2 linked regions of the Oreochromis niloticus genome follow. The protein of the gene in region 2 purifies or fractionates together with the protein of the main gene of each other region. This does not show direct contact. Links are inferred from orthologs where the notes say so. Each region holds a gene or a part of one and is shown on either strand. Other genes may lie near its edges.

Region 1 (15,577 bases), on a different chromosome or scaffold from region 2:
AATTTTGCACTTAGAAAGCACGAAAGTATGACACTGACCACAAACTACACATGCTGCTATTCACAGACTGTTCACGATTAAGACTTCAGTTTATTAGTGTTATAACACTGGAGCGTCCTATCAGTGAGTCGCTGCAAGGTCACTGACCGGGAGTAAGGTCAGACAGGTGTCAAAGGTCGTGTCAGAGGTCGGGAGAAGGTCTTGATATCGGTCTGTCAGGTCAGGTGTCATTGTGTCATGGCAACAGTCGCCTGGGGAACAAGAAGCTGCAGTGTTATTCACAGGAAGAGAAACGACTGTCATCAGAAACTTGTTGACATCTTGTTAGTGTCGCTTTCGTGACTCATGAGGAGAGAGCTTCACAGGAGTGCACAGGTGGGTGACGTGAAGGAGCTCTCACACAGTTTATTTAAGTTGCAAATAAATCATAAAGGGCCTTCGCTGTGAGTAACATTGAGGTTAAATATTCTAAACTCTAATAACCTGCAATGGAAGTGGAGTAGGGGTGCAAAGCTTTATGTGTAATGATATAACTTTATAATGATTAATAAATACTCTTTTACTACCTTGAATTCTTTTAGCTTATAATCAGGCTTTGAAAGCCTTCGACACAATTTGAAGACCCCACTCTGATCTGTGTTTTTTTGCTTTACTGACCAGACGTAGTATTGCAAGGACACTTATGTACAACACATGCTGTGACATTGCTAATAGATCAGGAAAAATCCAGAAAGTTGGTGTTTCCTAGTGTTTTATTTCATAAATACTTTGTTGTACGTGTAGCACTTCCTAACGTTTTCTTTTTGCACGTCTACCTGCCTCCATGATACCACCTGTTGGATCAGACATCACAGCACTGCAGCACTTCCTTCCTTGTGAACTGATGAAGTAGCACTGGTCCTTTGTAGTTGGTTAGCCTGCCTACACACTGAGCCTTTCTTGTCCCTGAACAGACCCTGACAGGTGATGTAGAGAGCCAAGAGTGTGCATCTTCACAGTTACGCTTGTTTCCCACTACGCTGCTGAAATTTGAACTCCCAGATTACTTCAAGCCATCACCTCACACTGTCACTGATCCTTTCCCTTTTTGTACTTATTGTGTTTATATGCTTCATATTTGCTCTTTTGTCAACGTTTGTTAAGAGCGTCTTTACTTTGTGGTCAGTCAACAAATATACCCGAAGCATCTGACACTAGAGCACAAACACACACACACACACACACACACACACACACACACACACACACACACACACAGAGGTGTTGGATTAAATAAATCAGAAGTCCTAATCAAGAATATAAGAAATTATTCTCGTCAGCAGTGTGTCTGATATTTTCTGAAACAAACATGTAAACAGACGAATTACGTGTACAGTGTACATATATTGTTGCCAAAATACTTCCAATTGCACATAATGGTGAGCCTGCAGCAGAAGACTGCACACTTACCATTGGTTCGTGTCATGTAGGCTTCAGTAGGTACGAGGACGTTTATGAGATTCCTCTCTGGGAGGATCAGCCAGCATCACCTTCATCTTTACCCCGTTAACGACGCGTCCGTGGAGCGCTGCCATGGCCTCGTCTGCGCACTGACAGAGATGAACACAGAGATGAAGAAGAGTTTGAAGTTTAATTCTATTCCTTCATTACTAAACCTACAAGTTCATCCTCAATCTGAGTTTTACCTGTTTATCTGCATACTTCATGTATCCAACTTTTCTCCCTGGAACCAAGTGGACTTCAATGAGGGAGCCAAAGCGACTAGACAGACAGACACAGGGAGGCACAGACGAACAAATAACATTTAATTGTAAAGCAGGAACATTTTCTAATTCTGGCTGTTTGGTTTAATAGCAGCTTTACTCTGTTATTTAAGAGCACTTAGCCTGATGTTATCATCCACAGCAGTTTGCACTGATTGAGCCAAGAGTCGTGATCAAGCAGACCTTTAACCGTCCCGGTAATGCACTGAGTTTTTTTTTACTGTTTTGTGACAGCATGTGTATTTAACTCATCAGCATTTTCTGAAAACGTAGTGATTGAGTCAGACCACAGGGCACTTACCAAAAAACATCCTCCAACACATCGGGGGGCAGCGGGGAGGGGCTGAACACGACAAACAGCCGCTCCTTGGTTTTGCTGTCAGGCGGAGCGAGCTTCTTCAGTGACGGCAGGTTGGCGTCGGTCTGAATTCGAGAAACTGATGAGACAACAGAGAAGCCCTGGTACATACCAAGACAGAGAACACAGGATCAGTCATTTTAATGACACATACTGTTCAAACACTGCATATCCCTCAGAAAAGGAAATTCTAGGTTTGGTCTGTTGAACTACTTTTAATCTTTATGTGAGCACAGATTTTTAAAAGATAAGCTAATAAGAATTAAAATATAGCTTTTTTAGAAATGTTCTTATTGTCATTGTTAAAAAAAACATCTGAAATGTAAATAAAATGTGCAGAGTAACAAGACGATGACCTGACACAATTTTGTAAATCAGATGTTGAATTAATGACTCACAGGTTTCATCACTTGGCTGCTGGATGGTCCGTTCCAGACCGCTGACATCATCTGTGCTGCAACAAACTGCATGGCCATCCGACCTACAGGACTGCACACAACAGCAAACATACAGGCTGTTTCCAGCTGTGGACACGGAGGGAAAATTAAGTCTACCTCAAGCACCCAGCACAGAGGTGCACTTCTCGCTTGTAGGGCTTCGTCCACATGTCATAGCTAAATAAAATCACAAGGGGGCAGTGTTAAAAATCTGTGCAGCAACTATTATGAGAGCTACTCTTTTTCATGTTTGTGACATTAAAGACAGAAGGTGCAAAAGAACTTATTCTTAGTGAAGTGACACTGAGTGTTTAAAACACGGTGTACTGTGTAGTAGTGCATGCTACTTTAATCGCTGATGGCTTTTTGTGCTTCTTCTTGTATTGCACTGTATTCTACTGATGTGTAATTTTCATATTCAAGCCAACTTGAACAGGAAAGGAGACACCGGTCCTACATCGCGTAGTCAGAGACGCTGAGGCATAGCATTTTGAGAAACAGCAGGGGGATGACAGCTGAGCATCTCAGCCCCAGTTCACTGTCACTATATAGTCCACAAGCACCAAATTTAAAATCCGGGGGGGGTTGAAAACGATGTGCCGGGAGTCCGCTGTTGAGTTTTGGACGAAATGCATTCTGGGATATTTAGCTGTACCAAGTCCACACCGATGCATGCTCGATAAAACGGGCGGAGCGAGAACACATCCGGGACTTTTTCGCGTTCTCGGCTTGATGCGTACTTCGAATTGGAACAGTACTTGGTCTCCGACTGATGACGTATCACAAGAACGCAAGTACGCACAAGTACGCATATTGAGAAATGCCCCAGAAGCCTGGTAATGAACTAATCATTTGATTCAGGTATGTTGACCCAGGGTGATATCTAAAACCTGCAGGACACCGGCCCTCGAGGCCTGGAGTTTGACACCCCTGTTCTAACTTTTTTAAAAACTTGTACTAAAGCTTGATTTAGACTTCAGCGTGAAATCTACATCCTAACTAACCAGAAACTCCTTTTATTCCTACACCGCAAGCTTCGGCAACCACACCATTCAAGCCGTTGTAGTACGCGCTGACCCGACGCGTAGTTACATTTTCTTGGGAGGTGCACGTCTGGTTACGTAAAATGTTGTGGCGTAAGATTAAAATGGGCTTCTGGTTATGGCACAAGTTACGGCGTAGATCTGACACAGAAGTATAACTCAAGAACGTCCGCCTGCTCTTCTGATGTCTTTTACTAGAGAGAGTGTGAAGTTCATGAATATTGTGAATGTGTATCGCTAACAGCTTTGAGATCACGTAAAATTTAAAAAGGCAGTCACGGCACTCTGAAAAAACACTGCCCGGTCACTGCAACCCACAGGGGACAACATTCACCCGTGAATATTTAACAACAAATAAAACATGGCCAAGAAGGCGTGCAGACAAGGTCACAGTTAATTATCAGTGGCATTTTCATTCCTATTTTTTAATTTATGGATATATTAACTTTAAAGGGTGTTTCTTCTCTGAGGCTCCAGTAATTTGTGACCCTTTTGCAGGCTCAAAGTTAAACATATACTGTTGTGTAGTTATGTGTGTATACCTGCCGCGGTCCTCGCCGTCGTCAACAAAATTTACAGCCAGTCTGTTTCCAGGTGGATATTCAAAGCCGTTTAGCTTTTCTCGGGCATAAAGTGCTGACCCAAGATTGCTGTAGCGAATCAAAGCATGGCCTGGAGGCAGGTGACACACAGCAAAGAAAAGGTCTGAGTGGAATATTTTACAGTCATCAAAACAGAATGGACCACATCAACATCCACAGAGAACAGAGACTGCAAACTAGAGTAAAGCTGATGTAGTGTGTAAAATAATCAGCAGCTCCATCCAGTTTTTCAAATGTGAAGGTTTGCTCCTTTTAGCCATCTCATGCAATCAAAAATAGAATCTCTTTAGTCACTCTCTGTCACACTAAGAAAACATTCATGATTAAAATCTTGTCACATTTGTAGATGATTAAACCCATAACATTGGTGGCTCTAAGTTCTGTAAGAGTTTACTTTGAGGTTACTGTTCCCAACAATCTGCTCAGTGTTTAGTGATTCCTTGGCCCAACAGGTCAAGTTGGACAGTTACCGTCCCTGAGCCTCATTCTGCAGATGGTTCGTTTTAAAAGGGTTTTTTTCTCCTCACTGCAACAGATTCTGACTGGTGTAACATGTTGGAGGTATATAAATAACATTGAACTGTTAACCTTTGTTCATTCCATAGGCATCCCTCTGCAGCTCGCAGTACTCCATGCCAGGTATAATGTCAAACAGAGAAAAAATCTGCTCCTGATTGAGTGCAACCCGCGTGGACACCATGAGACAGCGTGTGAAATCACCGTGGCGGTAATCTATGACTGTGTAGTTCCCAGGGTCGCCTAAACAGGGAAGAAGGACACCAGGGTCAGTACCAAGACAGAGGATAATACTAAGACCTTTACCCTTTCCTTTCTGTGGTAGTAAATTCTGATGACAAAGAAACTCGTACCCAATGAGAACGCATACTGGTTCATGGATTCAGAGCCGCCAGTATAATCATTTCTGGCTGCTGCTCCTCCAGAGCTGTAATCTTCTGTTGCTGTTGATTTGCTTCGAGGTTCAGCCAGGATGGCCCTGTAGGCTAATAACACCATTTCCACAGCTTTAAATCATAAACATGCCCTTTACTAAGTGTTAACTGAAGTGAGAAGTCACCACAGCTGTAACCGTTCACCAACCACTCTGTACATTTGATGTTCATACTGCTGCTTCTACCAGGATTAATGAACAAGTAAATGAGTTTGGCAGACCTACCTTTGTCGCAGTTCTCTATGGCGAGGGCAGCTTGGGAGGGTTTGTAGTATCTTACGTAGCCGAGGCCTTTACTTTCTCCTGTAAACTTGTTTTTGATAATCACACAATACTCAATATCCCCATACTCCTGCAAAACAGAAAACAGAAAGAATCTAAATGAGCATTTAGGAGTGTCAGCGAGTTCTAGAGAGGCTGAAATAAGATGGTCTAAAAGAACACACTATATACACTAAGCATAAGTGGTCTGTATATAGTTAAAGTATGATTTTTTGTTCTTACTTAACACACGTTTATGTATGTTCCTGTTATTTTTAGGCCATTTGATAGACAAATATAAATATATTTAGATTATAGCAAAATACTTTAATCACAGTCCTGGTGCAGGTTCTTTGATAGATGGCCAAAACCTCTTTGGGTGAGCACACAAATATTTTTTATAAAGGAAACACAATACTGACATTAAACAATCAACGCAATTTCCGTTAGACACATAAAAAACACAGGCAAGCAAAGAGCTGCGAAGCCATAAAAGAAGAAGTATTACTTTGAATGTTTCTTTGAGGTCCTCTTCTGAGAAGGATTTGGGGATCATGACAAAAATCCTGGTCAGCTCCTCATCCTCAACATCTCTGTGTCTCGTTGATGACCGTGACTGGGCTATAAACACCTGAAGAGCCAACATTTCCAAACAAAGAGACACAAATGATGCATTATAATAGCGGAAGATACACGTTAATTGTATATTTTCGAAGAGGAATCGCAACTATGATTTTTTCTTATGTAAAGTTAAGAATAAGATTTATCCCTAGCCATGAATATTCCATGTTTTGTCTTCTCAGTTCCAAATATTTAAAATTTAAACAGCATTTTGCACATAAGAGTGAGATTGTAGATAATTGAGGTTATGTGAACTGAAAGCAGCTAGCGATCACGCCCCTTTAGCATGCTAGCTATACGCAAATTATAAATCGACAGTCTGAACTGAAGCTGACAAAATATAATCTTTTTGGAGACCTAACCATTGACATTACCTTAACAGGTTTAGTCCCTTCCACCAGGACTTTGCCATGCATTTCTTCCATGGCCAAGCAGGCCTGAGAAGACTTGGCAAACTTTACGTAGGCAATGCCTTTGGACTCCTTTGTCTGCTTGTCTTTGACAACCCAGACCCCCTGAATGTCTCCAAACACGTAGAAGCTTTCCCGCAACTCATCTTCGGTGATGGACCGACTCGTCACCACGAACAGTCGGCTGTTGGGAGGGTCGTCGAGGTTTTCGGGCACTTGTTTGGAGGGATACTCCTCCATCTTCGCTTCCCTGTAAACACAGCAGTGTTGCTTGCAGTTGTTAGTGCTGCCTTCAGGTGCTCCACGGCATTTGTTAAGTAAATTATAACGGCTCTTGTTATTTACGTGTTTATTTACGTGGTTTGAAAAAAAAACTTTTGGAAAAGTAATTTCCTTCATTAACATTATTTAGATTGAGACTTTTAAAAATTCACGACTTAGCGCTTGTAGTAGTCATTTGCAAGCATTTGATAATTTAAATATTTAGAAAAAGTTATGAATCAGAGAAGCAATGAGATTGAATCGTGCATAGAGAATGCTTATAAGGCAGGAGATTAAATGTTGTTTTAGTACTTTTGTTTTAAATCTTGAAATATTTAGAAAGTGAATTGCTTTGTTCGCTGTCAAATGAGAACTTTAGTGAATTAATTGTAGAAATTCCGACAGTCTTAAAGGCATCCGCGGAGCTGATGACACGTATTTGCGTTTACTGCCCTCTGCAGCACAGGAAGGAGAAATGCAGGTGTTACAAAATACCCTGGTCTTACGAAAAGATGCTGCAGAGAGGTTTTGTAACTAACACGTTAATTAACATGAGTAATGGGACTTATCACCAAACCAGAACACCTGATGGCTTATTAATCCTATTAATCGTGTTCTATAAATACCTGACACAGGATTACACTCTTAGACAACATCAGGTATCAGCTGTGAAATAGTTACCTGAGCTCTCGTTCTGTCTGCCTCTGTGTGTGTTTGTTTAAAGAAATAAGAGGGAACTAGCCCTTCGTTAGAGATGAGAGAGTTAGTCACATTCGTGCTGGGGACAGACGACCAGAAAAGTTGTAAGATTATATCTATAATGGCAGACCATGATTTTTAAATAAAACACGTGCTGTTAAAAATATGATGTGCTGTAAGGGTAGATTATTAATTTTGAAAGCATCCTAGTTTGCATGTGTGTGTGTGCGCGCGCGCTCGTGTATTTTTAGGTGCTTACAGGTCACGTGCTGAATGACCCTTCTGAGCACAAACGTTTAGATTTTATAGCCGCTTTCTGTCATAATAGTATTCCCGTTTCATATGTTGTGAATGATGCTCGCTATATGTCTTTGTGTTTAGTAAAACAAGTCTTTTCTACTATCCTGGGGACACATAGTGTCACCTTGAGAAAACACTCAAGGCTCAGCACTTAACCTTTTTATTTTATTTTTTTCATTTTCTGTCTTTCATGTTTAATATAAATATCATTTAGCCACATAAATTTCACTTTGCGAGTGAGGCTTCATTTTGGGATAAGGATGTAGAGTGCAAAAGGCAATGTAAGAAACTACAGATAAGTAGAAGACATAAAAAGAAGACAATCTATTTTATTTAATAATTTGTAAACATTATGCACACGTTTTCTATTGGTAATTGGTTTGTGGAGACTACATGTACTTAAGAGTATACGTTCATTGAGTGACTTATTAAATTACGTGTCAGTTTTGTTAAATTAAAAGGCTATCTTTTGTTACCAAGTTAAACGCGGAGTACTTTCGGTTGCCAAAATCATTCATGAAACTTCTCCAGAAAAGCAGGTTCCCTTTGCCCTATAATGGCTCTGGAGGGAATGCGACAAGATTCTTGGGGCCTGTACTAAAACTCCCTTTCGTTTTCTTGCTCTCAGCCTCGTCGCCTCGCGTGTACACACATAACAAAACTTGCTGCGTTCTTGGTAAAACCTTACATATAGACACGATATGAGTGTTTTCTGTGTTTAAATTGTATTTTTTTTTTCATACAAATTAAACGACTTCTTTATATAAAATTAAAGCTATGACAGGGATGAGGCTACATCAGTTTATAGAAATGATACTACACCGACACGTAATGGTTAAGCGGTAATCTCGCGGCACATGATTGGCTGTGATGACGTCGAAAGCCGGTGCCTCTAAAGTGAAGTGACCTTCTTTGCGACCGTCACAAACCGCTTGTCGGCCGAGGCTGAGCCGGTTACTTACCTACAGCAGAGTATTTTTAACCCGACATCTTCTCATCAAAGGTAAAATTTCATACTTTATAAATTTATTTACAGGAGAATCGAGGTTCTATTATAAGTAACAGGATATGAGCCGCAACAGTAGCATGTAGCGGGAGTTAGCGCCCACGTTGGTGAATAGCCCGGTTGTGCTCTCATTGCGTAGTCCGTTATGGGGGAATAATAAGGTAATTTAAACGTTATAGCCATTTTACTTGAGCTCTTGTGTGATTTGGGAACACATTTGGGCAACACAGCAGCTTTGAAGTGCAATTTTCGTACGCCGACATTGAAGCATCCTTGACAGCCCCGGTGGGCGACCCATACCCGGCTTGTCGTACTACTAGCACGATGGTTGACCCAAGCTGAGTTCAGGTTGAGCTTGAGTCAGCGATTCGAAACGTCAAAATCGGGCGAAAATGCCACATAGACCGCGAATACATGTTGATACATGTTGGTAAATGGTGTACGTCCTTGATATTACGTGAGGAGGATGCCATTCAGCCGGCTGCCGCCATGTTGGAGGCTACGCGTCTATTGTAAATGGCATACGATGTAGTGCGGTTCGTCTCTTAAGAACTAGAATGAGAAAATTAGCCGTTATATTATGTAACTCAAAAAACTAACCGTATAATGATGGTTGATGTGTAATATATGTAAGATTTGTAGGCAGTTTTAATGAAAAAGGGGGCGGTAGAGGATTTTTGGGGACCGGGGTCATGTTAGTGGTGTTGCACTAAAATGTTTCCCCCAGTGATGATAGACCATCATTTTTAATCTTTAAAGTAGAAGCGACTTTATGGCAGAAACACCGGCCGGATCTCTGCCACAGGTGCTTTAGTAATTACAGCACGTTTTCCGCTAAGCACATTAACCTTGACTCCCCTCGGTAAACCTTCTGCCTCATGGCGCAAGATCATTAAAAAGGTCTTCCTTTACTCGCCAAACCTGGCAACCTTTCCCCCCTGGAGTAACTCGAGCTGAGGCCCTTCGTGGCTAGCCCAACGTGTTTTAAGGGCGGTGTAGTTTCGGCTTCCTGCACTGCTTTTCTGTCAGCTTTCCGGGTAATCTCGGCGTCGTGCCAGCGCACAGGGCAATGCGATCACTTACCTGAATGCATTGTAAAGTTAGAGCCGGCGATAAGAGATGGTCAAAGTTATGGAGTTGTCTCCTTAAGTGACCTTCACAAAATGGCGCTGGGGTCAAATTAGAGCTTTGAGCTTCCTAACTGGGCTATGAATAGAAGACAGTCTGATGTATTTAAAGAGCCCTTCATAATTCTGTATACTTTTACTTTTGCTTTTTAAACTGCATTTTCATCTCATTCTATTCTTTTTCCTGTTGCCTTTGTTTCTCCAGTCAACTATGGGAGACGCTGAAAAGGGAAAGAAGGTTTTTGTCCAGAAGTGTGCTCAGTGCCACACGGTAGAGCAGGGTGGCAAGCATAAGGTGGGCCCCAACCTCTGGGGTCTGTTCGGAAGGAAGACCGGACAAGCAGAAGGCTTCACTTATACAGACGCCAACAAGAGCAAAGGTCAGTTCACTGGGTCTCTGAGTAGAGTATAAATACCTTTGTATGCTAGATGTAGATCACCAAAGAAGGGAGATTGGCATTGTCTGAAATCTGGGAATTTTTCTGGAAATTGCCTCACTTGAATAAGTGTGTAGTTTATGTTCACAAACTTTTTTCTTTTTTAAATTCAGAAGTCTTTAAAGGGCTGTTTCATGTTTATATATTGTATCAGTAGCTTACAAGCAAAATATTTTTTCTTTTTTTAACCTTTTTTTTAATTTTAAAAAAGGCAAAGGCTTCCCATTTAAGCATCTATATTAAAAGTAGTTAAACTCCCCCCCCCCACCCTTTTTTTTTTTTTTTTTTTTTTTGTAAGGCTTTAAAAGTCTCATATCCTCCTCCGTTTTCACATTTTAAGTCTTGCAGGTTCCCAGAATGCATTTTTGTTTTCAGCTCAAATCACACACAGTTTGTACCTGCAGGTGGTTTTTCTCACTCTTGAAGTGAAGTTAATAAAATGGTCTCCTGTCGCCCTTTTTGGAAGAGTGCCATGTCTTTCTTGCCACTGCCTTGGATGCTCTGATGGGGGGGAAAAAAGAAAAGAGAAAAAGGAAATCCAAAACAACATAACGACCTGCTGAGGTTGTCATGTTATGCAGTGCACATTGACTATAATGGTGTTGGATTACTTGAACATTTCTTTCACATTTTGCAAATGACAAAGCCATTTTAGGTTTCATAAAAGGTCACATGGCACTCTTTCACTGTGCACACAGGCCTAACGATCCCTGTGTCATCCTCACCATTTGTTTTCTCTATAAATCCTGCTGAAGCTGGGGGCCAACACGCTCAAAGTCCTTTGTGTAAAACTGTCCTCGTGTGGCGTTTTTCCTTCCTTCTGTAACTTTCCTCTCCCAACTTCAAACTCAAGAAGGGGCAGGTCTGTGATATCAGTCAAGATAATGGTAGATGCGATAAAGACGTGTTCTTGTAGCTTAGCAACGGTCAGCTCTTGAGAGAAGTACTCTTAAAGGTTATGGGTGTTTTCAAGGACAAAAGGACAGATCTTTAAAATTTCCGCTATTGTCTCAGTGTGACTGTTTTGACATCGCAGGCTGCTGACACTAACAAATATCCTGTATTTGTGGTGAAGCAGTATGTCATCTGACAAGCCATCAGATACTTTTGGAGTACACAAACAGTTTGTACAATAAAATGTTCAATTGCTACAAGACTGTTTAGAGTTGTAACAAGTCTCTAGTGAGATTCATTCAGAAGAAGGCAAATGAGTATGAGGTGTTAGGTGACATTTATTTTCACCTCAGTTAATTAGTTTTGAGTCTAAACTAGACTTATAAATGGTAGCTTTAATTCCTTTTTTTAAAAGATTGTATACAAGCTAAATGCTTTTTATTAATGCGGCCTCTTTAAAGCCACACATGAAACTATAGTCGCTGATACTTGATGTCACCCGCTTGCTACTTGACTCATCGATGACCATTTTCCCTCAGGTATCATTTGGAGTGAGGACACCTTGATGGAGTACCTGGAGAACCCCAAGAAGTACATTCCTGGAACCAAAATGATCTTTGCTGGCATCAAAAAGAAGGGAGAGCGCCAAGACCTCATTGCATACCTCAAGTCAGCAACATCATGAAAAGATCACTGAGATCACAATATTTAATGTAATTTTAATGTTTTTCTCTGCCAATACACATTAAATATGATTTTATGTTTCTTCATTTGAACAGAAGGTTAATGTATATTCTCAGACTGGTGTTTGCTGTAAGTTTCACTTCCTGTTAAGGTCAGATGAGTTTTGAGCAGCTGTTCAAGTGAACAAACATAAAATCACAGTCCTGTTTTCATTGAGTCTGTACGAGTACATACTAATCACATTATTTAAAAAAGCTCTGGGGAGGATGGCTCGTCTCTCATTCTTTTCCATGACAACATGTGTCTGGTACTTTCTGCTAACAGAGTTATCACCATATACTTTATATTCATAACAATGAATAATAAAATTCATCTAATATCAGCTACATGAAAGTGAAAGGGCGATGAAGCCTGTGTGGAGTTTTGGTGGTAAACTGGTGCTGATTTTGAATCTGCCCTCAGCATTCATATTCAAGTTGTGAGTGTCTGACCTTTGCACAAATGTGATTAAAGACTTCCACCTGCTGTGAATGCTCTTAGTTTGTTGTGGACTGAATTTGGGAAATACCGCTGTTGTTAACACTCCCGAAACTGCTCCTCCAAGCTCCTGTTTTTACCCCCTGCCTGTCATCAGGCTCCTTAGAAGTTTTTTAAAGATTTCTTGCTAAAGGTGATGTATTTATCTGTCTCCTTACAGCCAAGAATTGTGGGATTGTATAAATATTACATTGATACCTTGAAAGCCACCACCATGCTGAGGTACAGTGTGAAACCAGCTGGCATACAAGCATCACGAGCTAATATTGTGGAGTGACTTTATAATGTAGGGAAACTATTACGGGCACCATCTGGACTGAAGGAAGATGTTATTTACCTGGTTTCACAGGCAGGACAGAGTTGGTTTAATTTCTTTTACTGTAATCAGTGTTTGACTGTAATGTGGTAGGTGTATGTTGTTACAGACAAGATGGTTAAGGATCAATTAAAAGAAAACGTCCAGACATGTGAAAACGACTCTTCATTTCATGGTGTTTGCAGGAGCTGACAGCTTGTCCCTGCAGCCGGGTCATGTTCTGCTCTTTTAAAATTCCCTCCAGAGTAAAGGCAATAAACATCACTGGTCTTATCAAACCAGTAATTTTTATTAAAGATAAGACCAGACTAATTTCACAGTCGCCTCTCAGCTGATTTGTTAAACAAATATGAAGCCAAGCGTGACCCTAAATGTGGATTTGACATTTTTGTGTTCAGTTTATCTGAAAGTGAGTTAAAGACGCCGTGGTGAGCAAATATGTGTAAATTTTGTATTATCAGTGTAGTAAGGTACATTTGCTACTGTAATAACACTATTTGGAGTCTTGTTTCCTGTCTAAAAAAAAAAATAGACAGCAGATTAGGTATGAATATATCCACTTAAAGTAACTTTTTGTGTGCACTCCGTGTCTCTTTAAAGAGAGTTGAACTCTCAGTCATACCCAGAGGGCCGCTCGTGCCGGTAAGGTGTCAGTTTACTGCTCATGAAGTCATTCTAGAAAGACAGTCAGCTGATGGCAGCCCAGGCCTTGCTTTACCTCTGGATCAAAGATCAATTAAGAGCAGAGACATGACTGGATTTGTCTTCAAACAGTGTGTCTGTATGCTGCCTGGAGACAGAAGGCTGAGTAAATTTTGTGTTTGAACTCTTAGGTTGTAAACTCATTACATTATTTAAGGATCTAGTTCATGGAAAATCTAATTAGAAGAGCCATTTTCTTTGCCCGCCTTACACCTCTCCATAAACTATGTTGGTTTTGAAAGAGAAGCTGGGACACCCAGGACAGGTTGATGAGGATTTGGAGACACCTGCTGGTGTATCATAAAATGCCTTTTATGATACTTCATTGTTCATTGTTGAAAGATAGAGGGGCATAATGTTCTGAACCTCAGATGGAAATAAGGTAAGGCAGAAAAGACCAAGCCTCTGAGAGGCTGATAGGTTCAATTTAATGTCACAATAAACTTACACATCTTTAAAAAACAAATAAATGAAAAGCACAAAAGTGATAAAAAGACACTAATTCATCATCAATTCAGGACAGTCATGCTGATAAAAAAAACTCATTGTAAGGGAGCAGTGATGTGTGAGGGGCAGAGTAGGCAAAGGACTAACAGGGACATGTGTACTGTTCAAAAAGTGTTTTTTATTTTATCCACAAATATGAAAAACAATCATATCAAAAAACAAAGAAAATAAGTTGTTCTAAGAAATAAGTGGGCTCCTAAAGGAGCTAGCAAAACCCCCCAAAACAAACCACAATGCATAACAGACTGTAAAAGAAACAGCCTTAATAATAGAATAGTATGTAGCTAAATAAAATAGAATTCATCATCAATATACTTTGAGGTTGTATTATATTTTACAGGGCCCACCAGGGGAAGCACCAGAACTCACTTAAATTCTGTTTCCATGGCACCAACATAACGCCACTGCAGCCACCTCAAGGTTCTTTGTGTTGTAATGTAAAGATCCTGCAATGTTAGATAATGAGACAATCCTTTACGAGCAGCACTCGCCATGGTGGGAAGGAAAAACAATTTTTTATTAGGAAGAAACCTCTGGCAGAACCAGGCTTAGGGAGGGAGCAGCCATCTTCACAACTAGTTGGGGGCCGAGGGGGAAGAAAATACAAAAAATGAGACACAGATAGACAAGAACACAATGCAAACTGTGAGGCAGAGTGAATAACATGCAGTACTAGCACATAAAGACATGGGGAGTAGAGAAGAAGTGCGTAGTACATGATGGCAAGTCCTCCAGCAGCCTATCTAATCGGTGGTCAGAGTCACTTAATTCAGCTGTAACTATAAATTTTATCAAAAGGAAACCTAAGGAATCTGGTTCCACAGAAGAACTGAAGATTCTTGCTTTTGGAAACTCTAGGAAGCACGAAGTAAGCCCACAGTCTGAGAGCAATGTGCTCCATTGGAATAATATAGTACAGTGAGATGGTTAAGATAGATGAAATACAGGAATGGGGTCTAATACTGACGTCAGTAGGAGAGAAGCAGTCTTAAGTAATTTTTTTTTCTCTAGTTGTTATAAGTTTATTAGCAAGAAATTCAACAACAGTTTTTAAACTGGTCAATGAAAATACACCAACCGTTTAGCCTTTGAGCCATTCCAGATATACTCCACTGCTCTTTAGATGCTCTCCACTTTAAATGATTGGCTGGATTTTCTTCTAAACCATATTGAGACACGCCCCTCTTCTTCTGTTTGTAGTTTCACTTCATATTTAGTGTTGAGAAACATTCTTTTACAAGATATGTGCTGTTGTGCCTCTGCAAATATTTCTGTGCAACTTTTAGAGTAATTGAGACACCTTTCTATTCAGGTTAGCTGACAGTGTGACAACTTAGTACTACATCAGTGCATTTTGCCCATGGACTGTTTATAGAATATGGGCACAGCTTAAAAGTGAAGCCAGTTTGCAGTGCTGGTTAGACCAATCCTGGCGTTCACCAGTGCTGCCCCTGAGCCTTTTCAAAGTCCCGTGTCACCTCATTCTCAAGGTATCACGTTCACAAAACTTGCATATCAATGCTTCCTGCGACAATAGCCTTTTAAGGCTGAGGGACAAAAATGACGGTTCACTATTCTTCTTATGACCAGCAGGGTGTGACTCATGATTGTAAAATGAAGTCCTCTTGTGGCAAAGTCCATGGTCTCCTTGGCTCTATGACCT
Region 2 (16,377 bases):
CCAGAAAAACAGAAGTGTCTGTACGGCTGCTTCTGCAGCAGAAGGAGGGGGGATATATTCCCGCATGTTCACCATTTCCTCTCCTGCTCCAGGGAAGTCCTGTTTCTCTCTACAGTAGCTACTTAATTGTCATTGAACAGCATGGTTTTCATTACAGAGCTGCATTAATTGGCAAGGTGTATGAATAATAGCACTTTCAACAGGCTTCAGAGCAAACACTGTCCCCATAAACGTGTTAACGCATGTGTCAGTGGGGGAAAAGTGGCTTTGATCAAAGCAGAGCAAATGCTGCCAGTCAACTCCAGTATTACAGCCTGACTGTTTTGTCTGCAGCGTTCATCCTTCAGTACAGCATCCAGTCCAAATGGGAAGGTGTACGATGTGCCGAACCAACCAAAAAGAGCTTCCCTTTACAATGTAAGAATGTATCAAAGTCAAGATAACTTTAGATGATACTATTTGAGTGGGCTTTGGTCCGACAGCTTCATTTTCTTTTTATTGTGCTATTCGCAGAATACAACGCCTCCTACACCAATGCCACGAAAGCAAGTTCTGGAGAAGGGCCTTAACTCTCCTGAAACTTTAAGGTGTAGCAGTCCAGAAGACTCTTATGTAAGTTTCAGATGTTTTAGAGGATTCATTTCTACAGAAGAGGATTAGCGCCACTGAGAAAAAAAGTGGGCACGTCTTTTTTTTCTTTTCCAGAATTCTGAAAAAAAAAGGTCAGGATTCTGAGATTAAAGTCAGAATTCTGGAAAAGGGGACAAAAGACGTGCCCACTTTGTTTTTCCAGTGGCCCTAATCCTCTTCCGTAAATTTCTCTACCAAGTCATTCATTTCTTAATATCTTTCAACGGTTGATATGGTTTAGATTTGGTTGATTTCCATCCTTTTTATAAAATTTTTACCTGTTTGGAACATGAAGCCTTTTACCAAAAAAAACCAGACGTAAACATGTATGAAGATTTCTTTTGAAATCTAACATTTTGTAACATTGGCATTTGGCCAAAACAAAACTAGCATGGCAGATGTTAAGAGGTTAATGAAGCAAGGATTGGTGCCTTTTATAAATGTGGTCTGTTAGTATTTTTAAATATAGAAAATCAGTCAAGACATCAAAATTAACCTGCCTGTTAGTCTTTTGTCTAACAAAATACTGCTGATTATTAGGGTAAGGACATAGATCTGACTTATGGCACTGGGATGTTAGCAGCAGATCTTTTGGGGTCGATGAAGTGCTAATTTGGGCCTTTATGAGTCAGGTTTGTTCCTGCACATCCAGAAGATGCTTCATTGGATTGGGTTTGGGAACCAAAAGTCCCAGGGCACTAACTCAACTGTCAGGTTTCACGCAAAACAGATGTAGGACTTGTAGAATCACTTAAGTGTTGAACAACTTTGTTCTTGTTCACAGGTGTATCCAGGCCCACCACCCCCTTCTCAGGACCCAAATTATGACATCCCCATTCCATCAGCCACAGAATCCCGAATCAAAATGATAGATGGATACAACACCCTTCCCAGCCCTCGCAAACCTGAGTGGATCTATGATGTGCCAGTGGGACCTGAGAAACAAAGTCATGGCATCTCTGATAACTTGTCCTGCAAATCAGTTTCCAGGCAGATGTATGACACTCTTCCAGCACATCGAAAAGAAAGTCCACCTATACTGCTTTATGATATACCCAAACCAAAATCTCCTGATATCCAAATTACACCAAACGTTTACAACAAACTGCCATCCCTGAAGCCTACAGAAGAGTCTGTATATGTGGTTCCAGCCAAGGAAGAACTCCTCATCCAAGGTGTCACCGATCAGCCCAATGATCAAAAACCCCTAGAATGCAGGGGTAACTCAAGCAATGATTTTGAACTCCAAAGAGTGCGTCTGCAGCGGATGAGGAACTTTCTGGTCTGTACAACCTTTCACGGCATTCAAGAAAGTGGGGAAACTGCATTGCGTGAAGATGAGCAAGGTCGAAACCAACATCTGCCTGCAGCAGATAATCAAAGAATCAGCACAGCCTCCAGCTCTTCCAACAGCTCCTGTGACTCTCTGGCCCTGAGCTCCTCTTCCCCTGAGCTTCTGCGAGAAGTAACACTCAGTCAGGATGAGGCGTGCCGCAAACTGCTGGACTTGCAGGAGTCTGTTTGTGAAGCTGTGCCCAAACTCATGGACTTTGTCAGCAGTCATTGGAGGTGTAAGGGACATCTGGAGAAACATCTCAAGGAGATCAAAGAAGCAGCCGAGTTGATTGTATGTTCTCTGACATGCTTCCTAAACTTTGCCCTAGATGTTAAAGGAAATGCTCGTCGTTTGACTGATGCCAACCTGCAGACCAGGCTCTGTAAACAGCTCTCCATCGTAGAGGATTCAGGTGTGATTTTACAACAAACAGTGAGTAATCTGAATGCAGCCAAATGGCCTCTAAACAAGCTCAGTCAGGAACCGGGGAAGGTCCAGACACCTGACCAATTGGAGCGCTTTGTTATGGTGGCAAGAACTATTCCAGACGATATAAAGCGCCTAGTATCTATCATCAACGCCAACGGCAAGCTTCTGTTCCGAACGCCTCAGCGAGATCAAGAGTCTGTAAACACCACGGATCCTCCAGAAAAAAAATGTCCTGACAAAACCAAACAAGAAGGGGACTTAGCTGAGGATGACAATGATTACGTAGAGCTGCAGGTATCAACTTCTGTTCCTCTGTCATAATATGACTTTTTAGCCACAAGAAACCCATGCTGCATACTTATTAATATGTTGCCTTTGAATTTTCCTCAGACTAAGGAAGACGAAAACAAACAGCGGGAAGTGCAGAAGGAACCTAAAGAGAATGTCACACCAACAACAGAGACGACGAAGGTATGTCTCCTCATTAACTGACACAGTCCTGTACAACAGACTTTTTTAATTTATAAGAGGATTTCTGGTCTGAAGCAGACAAACCAGTCTAGAAGGCACGGCCATGTTTACCTTTATTCTGTTTCTCCCCTGCTCAGGCCAAGCAACACTCCTCCAACTCTGGCAGTGGCACCGAAGAAAAGGAATTATCTTCCATGTCAGAGCACTGTAGACTTTACTTTGGTGCTCTCCAAAAGGCCATTGGTGGATTTGTGGGAAGCCTTCAGGATGACCAGCCACCAGAGAAATTCATCTCACAAAGTAAGCTGGTGATTATGGTGGGCCAGAGACTGGTAGACACTTTGTACAGGGAAGCCCATCGTAAAGGGTCTAACCAAAGTCTCCTGTGTAAGAGCAACCACCTGTGCGCTCTCCTGAAGCAGCTAGCTGTGGCTACCAAGAAGGCGGCACTGCACTTTCCTGATAGGCAAGCTCTTCATGAAGCTCAAGAGTTCGCAACGCAGCTGGCCCAGAGAGCACAGCACTTTCGGCTATCGCTTGATCTCTGAGAGTGAGCCTACAGTATCAAGCATACAGATCTGTGTGAAGAAGAAGGTTTTATTCATCAGTCATGTAGCTATTTCTTTTATTAATCATTCTTATAGTGTACAACTTCTGAGCCTAACTATGCTGTTGCTTTAGCTGATGAATGCAGGTTGCTGTTTAAATATTAACAACTGCAGAAAAAAGCCGGCGGCACAGGTTATTTCAAAAAGGTATTGCATTTGTACTAAAAGGCAGTATCAATATAAATTGCACATTCAAGATGCTGTAATTAAGCCAATGTTATAATGCATTTTAAGTACAGAGTATAAAGTATTTTTTCTATATTTACGGGAAATGTATATTCTTTGCCTTTTGTTGCTTATCTGTTTTGTCTTGTTTGTTTATTTTACTATATTGTGTATGGAATATATTCCTCAGAGTAGCATGTTGTTACAGTCTACTTTTTGTTAATATCTATGTAAATATTTCAAAAAACAATTGTTATGCATTCCCAAAATTTACTTGACAAAAGACTGAGTACAACATATGTTGAAGTTCTGTTGATATTGAAATAAAAACACAGACACACACAACTGAAAACCTTATTTTTCTGCTTTTTTAATATGTTATAGAAAATAGATTTTAAAAATAGATTTAAAAAAGGGACTGGAAATGAGAACATTACAGCCCTACAAACTGTTCCGCTAGTTATCTAGTTCTTGGTATTGAAATGATGCTTTTGCATGAGATCAGAAGGGAAGATTTGTATTCTCTTTCTACCTGTTTGCCTGGATGTTCTTTTCAGTACTTCTGGGTTTTTTTCACTCGCTTTCTCTAAGCTAGTCAGCTTCTGTTCTCTCTGTTTTAAATTTCGGTGGTATTCTGTCATTCAGTCTGCAGAAATTCATGCAGGGCCAAGCACGCAACAAAACACTCTGGGGGGATTTACCGACCATGCATTAGCCCTTTAAAGCATGAAATAAATGTCAGAAAGGTTAATGGTATACAGTTAGTATAAAGGTGAAATTAAATGCATGAATATCATTTATATGTGATACATATCATCAGCTTAAATTCAAATTCAAATATAACTCTAACCATGAGCACCACAGCCACTGAGCACAAGCCCACCACAGTTCTTTACTGAAAATGTACGCAGTACGGAAAGCTAACCTGTTACTCCTTCACGAAACTGCCGAGCGTTTTCATGCAACTGCTGAGTAAGGCCTCAGTTTGTTTTTTGCAGGACAGTTCACAGTATGAAAAACAACTTCACATCATATACAGATCTGTTATCTGATTTATAACAGCAGGACGTTACACGTAAGCTTGAAATTTCCACTTTATCAAATGTCACTGAGCAGTCCTTCCCTTACCAAATCTAACCTCTCTTCTTCCTCTCCCATCCTGTCTTTCTTATTTTTCTCCATCTCTGAGTGAAGATCTGGCACCTCTGAACGAGGTTCCAGATCCACTTTAATCCTCAGAATGGTGTCATAAATCATTTTGATGTTTGAAGACTTGCAGTGATGGCAAATAAAAACTTCCCTCTAATGTGTTAAACCTAAAGTAACACACTTGTTTTGAAAATGTGAGGAGTAGAAAGTAAAGACGTTTGTTTAAAAATGTAGTGAGTGAAGTAAAAAGTTTAGAAATGAATAAATACTTAACTAAAGTACAGATAATTCTGAAAATTCTACCTAAGTACAGTAACAAAGTATTTGTACTTTATTACTTCCCCCCCTCTGTGAATGTGTTACACAATCCTCCTAAAAGTATCATCCCAGCTCAAAATCAGACCCTGCAACGCTCAGAGAAACTGCAACAAACTCAAAATCAGCTACACTGACATTAAAACGTAATTTTTCCCACTTCCTGATTTCTTAGTTACTTTGTTTGTTTTTTGCATATTTGTCACACTTAAGTGTTTCATATCATCAACCAAATTTTACTATTAGACAAAGATAACCTGAGCAAATAAAAATTCAGTTTTTAAATTATTTCATTTATTAAGGGAAAAAGCCACCCAGACATACCTGGCCTCATGTTAAAGGTTAAAGTTAGATAAAGACACATATGGGTTGTTTAGAAGGGTTGCCAGGAGAAAGTGCGCCAGGACAACTCGACTCGTCGCACACAAATGCCCAAAAGCCAGTAAATTATTATTTCCTATATGTTATACAGCCATTTTTCGTTAACACTAATAGAATTAGATTGTGGGTACAAGTGATGGAAATTAGCTTTCTCTGAATCATGGCTCTCCCTTAGTAATAGGGTGAGGAGGTCAATCATTTGGGAGCGACTCAGGGTAGAGCTGCTTCTCCTCCACATCGACAGGAGCCGTCTGAGGCTGTCACCTCCTGGATAAGTTTCTTTGGCATGTCCGAGGACATTTCCTCGGACATGCCAAAGAGCTTGCATCTGTCGGATGGCCTGGGAACCACTTGATGTTTTTCCGGATAAGCTGGAGGAGGTGGGAAGAGGGAGCTGTGGGCTTCCCTGCTTTGCCTGCTGCCCCCGTGACCTGACTTCAGATAAGATAAGGAAAATGACTGGATGATGTATGTTTTGTTATTTTAAATTCAAACTTTTATTGAAGTGGTTATCATGAATTTTAGAACAGCATGGATCATCTATAATTCACGTTAAGTAGTAAGTAAAGTTTTTTTATGTAGTGCTTTTCACAGACATAACAGTCACAAACAAGTCAAACACAATATCAAAGAATATCAGCAGGAGGCCCAATTAAACAGAACAGTTTAGTTGTTTCTATAAGAAAAAAGACTAAGAGGCTACAAGAAAATATAAAACCATATAAACTTGTTAATTAGACATGAGTATTTACCAGACAAGCAAAGTCCCAAAAAATCCGACTGGCTGCATTTTAGGATAAGTCGAAGCCGGTGTCCAGGAGTTTAACCCACACTGGAGATTAAACATCAGGATATTTCAGTCTCTGCTGCTTCAATACTGGACCTTATTTTAAAAATCTATTTTGAGTTTCTTTTCCTTCCATTTGTGTTATAGTGAAATACGACCATTAATGGCGTAATTGTTATATTTCTGTCACTGAAGCGTAAAAACATTTTTACACCCTGAAGTGATTGTTAGACGTCCGAGTCATTACATAACAGGAACTGGGTTTGGGATGCGTATACTGTCTTGCCTAACTGTGGACTGTGCACAGTAGTTAACCTTTTACCACCCACTCTTCTGCTTGGGTACAGCATTTTGAACTTACCCTTTAAAACCGCTGGTAGTATATAATGTTGTGTAAGAACACAAAACAGTGATTTATCAATATTTAGGTACCGACATTTGTTTAGATTTGTACTTTATGAACAAAATTAGAAGTTCCTCTGACCATCTAGATCAACCAATGATGTCCTGGTGGAGTGGAAGGGTGCAAACTTTAACCTTTTCAATCTAAAGATATTCCAGTATTGCTTATCTCATTTGATCTTATCTTAAATTCACATTGTTTATATCATTGCTTGGTGTTGGTTTCTTCTTTTTCTTGTAGTTTAGACAGGTTCACACATCACTATGAGTTCTTCAGGGTAAACAGTATTTACAACCTTCATTATTTTAACCAGAGCCTCGAAACACTCTCGAAAGTTGTTCCTTTTCTGGCTTCCTCTTCGGACAGTTATTTCAGTTTTTTCAGTCAGGACTTTCTATGGCTTTCCATTTAGAGGTGCATGCTTCTGTCTTACAACATCGTCACTCCTTTATTTGCTTCATCTGAAGGTAAATGAATTTGCTCATAGAGAGCAGATTGTGGTTGTGCAGATTGTATGCAATTGATAAACAGGTACAGGGCTATTGGTTCAGAATGACTGATTTATTAACATATTCATGGTGGTAAGAACAATATAGGCCAAATCAAAGAGTAATTTTGCATTCACACTTTGGTTTTTTGTGCAGTTTAGGAACATTGCCAAGCACATATTAGTAAATGCAGTCCATAGTTCCTGAAGTCCTGTTGTTTTCTCCCAGCAGCCCTTCCAAACAAGCCTCTTGGAGCCATTAGAGGAACTGCAGTTTTTGGTACTTTGACACTGGCTTCAGTTTCAGCCCCAAGGTTTGCTAATGGGGCGTATATCAGTCACAACACAAGTTTCAGTTTTAATATATTGTTGTATGGTTTGAATTTTACTACCAATTCATATTCTTAAGACACACTGAAGACTTAGTTTGGCAAACTTAGTTTGCCGTCCAGGATACTGTAAGTCGAGCGATTGTAGTTTACATTGTGAGATTTTAAAGGACCACGTGAAAAGCTACAAAGGGTTACATAACAACTTCATAGTTTTTAGACTTGTGATATGCAGAAAAGACAAAAGTCTCAGCCAAACACAGAAAAGACTAGGCCTGGAATCAGTGGGGTCAATATCAAAAAGTGCTGAACAAAAAGGAAAAGTATTTATGTTCACTCTATTATAAAACTTACAACATATAATATAAAAGAATACCAGGATTACAAACCTCTTAACATCCACCAGGTCGCTGGAAACCCAGGGGTTGAGTTTGGTTAACCACCTCTTTCTACAGTATTTGCACCTGTCTTTAATGTAATGTGTAGATTCTAAAAAATGCCCGTTTAACATGTGGCTAAAGCAGAGCCACATGTTAACCAGTTAACTTTGTGACCTCTAGGGTCTAGGATTATGGCCACCTAGACCCTAACCCTAACCTGTTGCTGGTCACCTAGTTACATGGTTAAGAGGCTAATGGGGGAGGGGGCTCACAAATGTTTCCAGATCTGTCGTAGATAAATTAGTATTATTTACTTGGAAATGCAAGTGAAATTCTCATACGTGTTTATGACAAAAAAGAGTGTACTAACCACCGAAAGACTCACACGTGCAGTTACTGATTGGATGCCGCCCTCTGTTGACACTGAATGGAAATGACTTTATTCCCATATTTTTGGCTGCTTATTCACTCTTAACCAAGCTGATATGTTGTGAACATCTGTATTTATACATTTCCGAATCATTAAAACATCTAGAAAGATAAGGAGAAATCCAAGGTTAACTGTTAAGTTAAACCAAGTAGTTCACAAGGCTTAGAACCTGTTGTATCATTCATAAACACATTAATTAATGCATTGTTACAACAAGCTGGTGAGACGGTGGTGGGCTTGTCGATAATGAGCTTTGAATATTCAAATAGCTGTCATTTCTAGATCGGTTGTTCGATTACTTCTAACACGTTTCCATGTAGCAGATGGAAAACTACCACACTGCTATTAAGAACACTATTTTTGCACATTGTACAGAGACTCAACTTTGCACCCTCGCTCACCCCCTCCCTCCACAAATCAGGAAGGAACGCTTTCGCACCCAAAGAGTGAAACTTGCCAAGATAGTTCACATCCAACCTTTGCCAGCGAGTTCTCGAGGCTAGCTTCTGTCCCATTAGCTTTTGCAGCTCAACACCTTAACTCAACACATTTCATAAGTAGGTTTTAGAAATGTGAAATTTTGTTAAGGCCATACAGTGATTCCCAATCTCACTGCTTCTAGCTTTTAACCTTACCATAGCATCTCTACCCTAAAGTCACAAGATAATGAAACAGACAAACTGCAGCCTGTGGCAACAGCCACAGAGTCATGAAATAAAATAGCCATCAATATATTTGGATTGATATCACATCTTTTTTGTTTTTTTAAATAAAACAGAACTACCTTCCACATCCATATTTTTCACTTCTTGCCCAAATCTGATCACAAAACTCCAGTGCTAACGGTAGTTATGTTTTATATATAGTCTCTGTATAAAAGGTCTTTAATTTTCTGATTCTTTTATTTAAAAAAAAAAAAAATTCAGGCAAACAATAACAACAATAATAACAAACAAACAGCGAAGCACCGACAGTGTACTCTCTTGCTTCTCTCGTGGGCCTCTCGAGCCTACGTGCCTGTGCGTCATGTCGTCACGTGCTTTCCCTCTCGCTGTCCTCCGGTACAGGCTAAGGATCGCAGTCATGGCTTCGTGAAGCGACACATGGCATCTTGAAGCCATGAACCAAATTAATAAACACAACAAACATCAACAACTACTCACCGGAAAGCGGACACATTTAAATAGCAGGCGTGTTTGATTTCATTCGTAATTACAGCAACTCCGGTAATATCTGCAGCTAGCAGTCAGTCACACTGGGGGAGAGGCACACTGCAACCTCCCCCGGTTTATTTTCCTATGATACTCAGTTTTCTTTACCGTCACTTTTAAGTTTCTTTTCTAAGAGAAGCTCGACATGGGTGTGCAAGGTTTCCTGGAGTATATTGAGAAGCACTGTCCCAACGCGGTGGTGCCGGTGGACCTCCAGAGGTTGGCCCGGGGGAGTTTGGTTGGAGGTGGCCGGCAGAGACCCCCTCAGAGTCCGCTGAGGTTGCTGGTGGACGCCGAGAACTGCCTCCATCGGCTCTACGGGGGCTTCTACACCGACTGGGTCTGCGGGGGCCAGTGGAACCACATGCTGGGCTACTTGGCCGCCCTCTCCCAGGCCTGCTTCAACGGGAACATTGAGCTCCTGGTGTGCTTCAATGGCGCCCTGGAGAAAGGCCGTCTTCACGAGTGGGTCAAGCGGCAGGTGAACGAGAGGCAGACCGCTCAGCAGATCATCAGCCACGTCCAGAATAAAGGCACCCCACCGCCCAAAGTCTGGTTCCTGCCTCCCGTGTGTATGGCCCACTGCATCCGACTTGCTCTCCTCAAGTTCCGCGTCGGGGTGAGTGGAAACTCGGCCCGGCAGTGCCTGCCTGTTGAGCTGTGGACACAGCCCGGCTCTGAGTTAGCCTGCTAGCTGCCCACCATGTCACCACGGGCATCCTGACCCACGATGCGATGCTGTTCCCACATTTAGACAAGTTCTAACCTGCTGTGTGAGGGTGAGCAACTGCCGTGGTTGACTAGTATCCAACAGGTTGCTGGTCTGAGTCCCAGTTCAGATCCTCTGTCAGCGATCACTGTTTGTCCTCCCAACTGACAGAAATAAACAGAGTGAACAAAAAGATGTCCAGACAGGTTTGGCATAAACTGAACAAGTCCCTGTTTCACTGGAAGAACATAACTTCATGGCTGAGGTTTAAATAATCTTAAAACAAACAAACAAAACTACCAATTGTGAAGATGCATTCTGCGCAGTTAGAAGAGCAATGAGCTGATGAGATAAAGTAGATGAGGAAGTTCTGACATTGTCTCTGCCTCCACCTCAGCAGTGCTGTAATTCCCACCACACAGCTGCTCGATTTGTTGGAATCTGGTAAATTAATTTAGTACGCCACAACTTCACACTTACATTTAAGACTTGCAGCGTGAGTTCTTTTTAACACACACACCAAAAACAGTTTATTTTTTTGTCATCAGTTTTCTGGCTCTTCAGAGCAATGATAGCTTATTTAGTCATTGCACTAAGTAATGTGTTGACAATCTGGCTAAACTGTTCACATATTTGTACTAATCCTAATAAAGATGTCATACACAGGATCTTTCTTTTAGTAGCCCGTTCTAGCGTGACCACAAAGCAGACAGCAAAGTGAACGTGAAAGTGTTGTGGTTACAGTGATTCTGCTGTAACAGTGAATACAGACAGAAGTCTCCAGTCCTACTGGTACATGTTTATTATAAGTGGAATAAGGCTGTAACATGACAAAAAGTAATCAAGTTGTGTTTTGTATTGCAATTTGTAATTTTCAGTCTGCCCACGGGATGATAACAGTGAAATAATAAAAACTAACTAAGAATAAGTAACTCCAGTGTGAAAACATATACGGGACAGGAACAGACTTATGAGCAAGGCTCACTCCCCAAGCAGCTCACACAAATGTGCACGTGCTCCTCGATTGTAGTTTTCTTCCTGTGCATGTTCTTTGAGTGCTTTAGCACACTGGTGTCTGTAAAGGGGTTTGTTTTGAGGCGTTAGCTCAGTTCTTGTCTGTGGCTCTCCTCAGGTTGTCCAGAGTGTGGAGGACCACCACCTGGAAGTGATAGCCTTATGCAGGAAGAGTGGCTTCCATGGTCTGGTGGCTTACGACTCGGATTACGCCCTGAGCAATATCCCATACTACTTCAACGCCCACATCCTCAAACTGAGCCGCAACGGCAAAAACCTCACCACCAGCCAGTACCTGATGCACGAAGTGGCACGGCAGCTCGATCTCAGCCCCAATCGTTTTGTCATTTTTGCATCGCTTTTAGGTTAGTGTTGTAGTTTGAGCGAGTAATGTTGGTGGAAGCGTTTGCCCCGGTGAGGCTGACTGATACGCGTTTTCTTTTTAACAGGGAATCACTTACTGCCTGATGAAGACTTGGCTGCCTTTCACTGGAGCTTACTTGGTCCAGAGCATCCCTTGGCATCTTTGAAGGTAAGGACTTTCTCTGAGAGCTGCGAGATTTGTCGGCCTTGTGCTTAAATATTACCGTTACTGGTTATTTGTTTGCTCGTGCAGTGCACGTCCTTGACTGATGGGAAGGAAAAGTGCACATATTTTGCATTGAAAGATATGGTAGTAAGCGCCAGCGACGCCTAGATTGAAGTAGCTACCAGCAACAGCGCCGGATATCGTTGATTGACATATGACCTGGTAGAAAATAGAGGGGTTACCTAGGCAACTGCACCCTGGAATGTCTGCAGGTGACCAGCTGTCAGCTTCTGTGACCAAATTTTAATCACCAGTTATTAGTTAGACGCGAGTACTGATAAAGACTATGTGACATCACCCATTTGAGCGCACCCCCACTTCAGACCAGTAGATGTGTTTGCATGGACTTGTGTCCTGGTTATAATAAGGTTTTTGAAGTATGTAGTTGTTTTGTTAGCACATGTAAACATGATCATATTATTTAAAATCAAACTTTAATCGTTCTTTTTTGGTTTTATTAAACCTGGATTTGGTAATGGGACTCCAGGTCCAGTCTCCCGCCCAGTAAGTTGGCTCTCAGATTGTTGTACATACACTGAGCTTTGAAACTTTGGTTATGTTTAATGGTAAATGAACTAAAACTTCTACTACAAGTCTCATTCACCCAGTCACACACGCATTCATACAATGTTTTTATCTAGCACTTACACTCACACCAGGGGCAATTCTGGGTTCAGTATCTTGCCCAAGGAAGGTTTAACACATGGACTGGAGGAGCCAGGGATTGATCAACCCGCTCTGTCACCTGAGCCACAGCCACGCGCCTTGTTTAACATCACTGCTGTCATAAGGAAAAGCACACTAGGCTCCCTTTTATGATGCTATCCTGGTATTAGTACCAGCAAGTTTCAGCAGCTGCACTCAGGTAATAATTATAGGTACATCTACCTATTTGTTTGTGTTTCTTGACATATCACACCTGCCTAAACTAACATCACACAGTAACCAGGATACTAGTATTTATTATGTACACAGGACATGCAGAACCTGAACATCTGTTTTCCGTGTAAACAGCGTTTCGCATATATGATCCAGGATAAACCTCATAATCTGCATACCCGGGTCCATGAAAGTCACAGGAACCACAGTGCTGTGTAGAAATATCCAGAGCATTCCACAGTCACATTCAAAACAGGCATGTGCTTAATGAGTTTTATATCTGTTCTGTCACCAAGCTTGTTGTATTGATTCTGATGGTGCCTGTATGACTGTCCAGATCCCACAGAGTGTTTCAGAGCCATGTTTTGCAGGATTGGAAATCAGTCCATGCACAGTTTGACACGGACAAAGCCTCTTTGCTCCAAATAACAGTCTGACTTCTCTTTCATATAGTAATGAAGCTGTCAAAATGCTCTCAAGTTGACAGCACAAGATTCAGATTCTGTTTGTGGTGCTGCGGTTGAGCAAGTTCACGTGGACGTGTATGCATGTGCACATGATTAAAGATAAAAATACAGTTTCTAAGTTCTCCCCTTCGCCCGTTATATTGACACATAAATGTAACCAGCCTCACTTTCATTAATTCCAACTTAAGTGAGTTCACTGTAGTGGCACCAGAGAGTCTAATGAATAAAGTTCACTTGACGCTGTTACGCTGAAATGATGCACAACATAAAGCACAATCTAAGCTTTTTGTACACAAGTGTTACAGTAGTCAACATTTCAGTTTGATGTTGACATATTGCAGACACATCTGGACATGTTCACAAACCAGCAAACACTGCTGAGCCTGAATCCTTCTCAGAAATACATTACTTACAGAGGAAGAATACACTTTTACTTTTGACTTAAAGCCCCAGTTGATCATTTGTGCTTTTGATTCTTAACCTTCCCTCTTATGCATTGAAGGGTTATATAAGTTTTGGCTGCGTTCAGGACAATCTCTCTTTCACAGGTGCGTGCCCATCAGCTCGTGCTTCCTCCCTGTGATGTTGTAATCAAGGCCGTGGCCGACTATGTCCGCAGCATCCCCGACATCACTGACCTGGAGACCATCGGCAAGGACATCTTCAAGAATTCACAGGTATGAACTTTCCAAAAGCACTTTGAACAAAGTTTGAATGTTTTGCTCCACCCTGTCATCCCCTCTACCCTTGGTAATGCAAACAGTGAGATATTTACAAATTCATATGATAAATAATTTAGCTTTACAGTAAGTGGTTGGACCAGCTAAAACAGTATGCATGACACTGTATTTTACTTATTTTCACCTCAGAGCTACAGTTCTATTACTCACCTTTTCTGAAAATCTTGTGAATGCAATAACGTAGGATTTTGAAATTCATACCGTAGGTGTATCTGCTTGGAAGCTGATCGGTAGCACTGGCAGTCTCCATTATTTCATATGTTTAAAATTTGTCCTCATGTAGTTCGCCCTCCTCATACACAGTCAGTGCCCGGTGGGAAAAGAAATGATATAGATGAGATAAATGAGCAGTTCTCCTAGTGCAGTCACGTTAACCTCCGATTTAAAACCGCCAGTCAGAAATATCATTCTTCTGTTTTCTATTGATTGATGATGGATCAGTGAAACTGCTCCACAAACACTAATTTGAAAGCATGTGGGACTGAACCTGTGTTTATCAAGTTTTGCTTATATGTGGTTATGAAACATGACACTCTAGGGAAACAGATTCCATTTATTATGAAGCTCCAAATGATGACATTTAATCCCATCAGTGAGCTAAAAATCCCTTTGATTTTCAGGCAGTCACAGTCGATTCCTGATCATCCTTTAATAAATCCAGTTCACATCATGTTAAAGTGTGATTCTTTGTGACTTTGAATTGACTGAGCAAGAAAAAACAGCCGTGAATGGGTCATGGACCTAGAGCCAGCTAAAAAGATCATGTTACAGTCTCAGGAGGGCTTGTTTTGAGTTGTAGTCCTGTTGACTGAAGATGCAGAACTTCCGTGCTCTAAATAAAATCAGTTGATCTGCCAGATGTGCAGTTAGACTGCATGTGCGTGCCTCCTTTAGCATACACTACACCACAAACAATAGAAAGCTTTGGGAAAATTGATTATGAAACAGGTTCTTACAGGTGGTCTCTCTTAGTTATGGCTTCAGTTTGGTATTAAATCTAGTTGTATGGCCAGTTTCTCTCTGCTGACTCCTTTATTTTGGCGACACAGACAGATAAGTGATCAGAGTCAGATCTGAGCTGTGGCGGTGATAAATATGTAGTCGCAGAGGATCCAGCGGACTGCTCGGAAAATGGGAAGATGATGATGTGGTCTGGTCAGGTTATTGAGCGTGCAGTGATTGATTCCATTTGAGTTAAGCTATGTATATTATTTTTACTGCATGTTTTAGTAGAAAGTGGTCAAAATCAGGTGCACCAGGATAAGAGGAATAAAGAATTTGCTTGTTTGAAAGTGAATTTGGAGATTTTTTTTATTTTAGACAAAGAAATACTCTGCTCTCTCATTTGTTTCTTTTAGTCTTGCACTGATGACAAAATCTTCCGCTTCAAGAAGGCAGTGGACTACTACTCAGTGGCCAACCAGCCCCAACATTTACCTCTACAGTTGGGTGGGTTTTCGCCTCATCTCACCATACTGAAAATTTTGGAGTTTGGGTCAGCAGCACTGATCTGTCGAGACGCAGTGCTGAAATTCAACACTTTAATATATCATTTATGATATTAAACTGCAGAGTTTCTGCTTTAACTTGAGTTTACATCAGAATTGTGTTGGAGATTATACTGTGGAGGTATGTAATAACGACAGGAGAGGTCTCAGTGTCTCACTCCAACTTTATTAACTGACTCTCAGAACTTCACATACAGTAAGCGCCAAAATCTCCACCCCAGCACTTCCCTTCAACGTGGGTGTGAGTGGAGCCACCTGGTGGTCCGCCACACATACCCCCCCCTGAACACACAGTTAGGTCTCTATTCAGTCCGGGACCCTGGGCCTAAGCAAACGGCCCGAACGACTGAACCTGGGAGGGAGAGAACAGGCAGAGGAAGGTCCAACCTGTGAACGAGGCTGGTGAAGGCGAGCAGGAAAGGCAGAAGGAGGCTCAAACGCCGGTGGTCCGGGGGTAGTCCTGGGGGGAAAACCAGAGTCTGTCAACCCCATCGAAGGAGGGTGGCCACGGTGAGGGGCCTGGGCCGGCACTACATTACTGTTGGGTCTGTTCCCACAAACCCGCTAATTCTAGAGACTTATTCATCATGAAAGAAAACAAGACAGTCAGCGATCGATCGATTACTTGCGCAAGGGAGGCCTCATCTGTGTCCAGCACGAAAATGACCCTGACGATGGCCTCCTCCTGCTGCCTTTTATTGAGAACACAGTTCACACAAAACAATAGTACCTCCCCTCATAAACCCCCTTGGTTACAAAGACAGGGCACTGTATGCATTTGTGTGTGTGTGTGTGTGTGTGTGTGTGTGTGTTTTGGGAGTGCGTTTGTGTGACCAAAAGGGTCATAAAAGCAGGAAGCTTACAACACAAGAAACAGATCTTTCAGATAGGATGTATCTACAATAAAACCTCCCCCAGCACAGAGTGGTTAGAGGTGTTCAGGATCAAAGGAATGGCTTT

What was found.
Region 1: the proteins of constitutive coactivator of PPAR-gamma-like protein 1 homolog (region 2) and rbm45 purify together in Homo sapiens (co-immunoprecipitation; 3 studies listed by BioGRID and IntAct, with this or other methods). This does not show direct contact. The link is inferred for Oreochromis niloticus from reciprocal best matches to the Homo sapiens genes FAM120A and RBM45.

Annotation. Positions count from the first base shown.
Region 1 is NC_031978.2:5,576,513-5,592,089, forward strand, and holds the start of rbm45 (RNA-binding protein 45), read right to left. Parts: upstream 6,751-15,577; 5' UTR 6,685-6,750; coding exon 6,409-6,684; intron 6,045-6,408; coding exon 5,922-6,044; intron 5,505-5,921; coding exon 5,378-5,504; intron 5,205-5,377; coding exon 5,073-5,204; intron 4,963-5,072; coding exon 4,792-4,962; intron 4,274-4,791; coding exon 4,144-4,273; intron 2,611-4,143; coding exon 2,520-2,610; intron 2,223-2,519; coding exon 2,065-2,222; intron 1,762-2,064; coding exon 1,686-1,761; intron 1,590-1,685; coding exon 1,473-1,589; 3' UTR 1,450-1,472; intron 1,194-1,449; exon of another isoform or gene 957-1,193; 3' UTR 1-956. Other genes in the region: cytochrome c, read left to right, coding at 9,919-9,939, 10,043-10,217, 11,708-11,853. UniProt on the Homo sapiens protein: RNA-binding protein with binding specificity for poly(C). May play an important role in neural development.
Region 2 is NC_031970.2:37,137,382-37,153,758, forward strand, and holds the start of constitutive coactivator of PPAR-gamma-like protein 1 homolog, read left to right. Parts: upstream 1-9,242; 5' UTR 9,243-9,656; coding exon 9,657-10,130; intron 10,131-11,352; coding exon 11,353-11,599; intron 11,600-11,683; coding exon 11,684-11,766; intron 11,767-13,717; coding exon 13,718-13,846; intron 13,847-15,267; coding exon 15,268-15,358; intron 15,359-15,531; exon of another isoform or gene 15,532-15,723; coding exon of another isoform or gene 15,724-15,877; intron 15,878-16,377. Other genes in the region: cass4 (cas scaffolding protein family member 4), read left to right, coding at 334-417, 514-612, 1,415-2,689, 2,786-2,866, 3,004-3,414. UniProt on the Homo sapiens protein: Component of the oxidative stress-induced survival signaling. May regulate the activation of SRC family protein kinases. May act as a scaffolding protein enabling SRC family protein kinases to phosphorylate and activate PI3-kinase.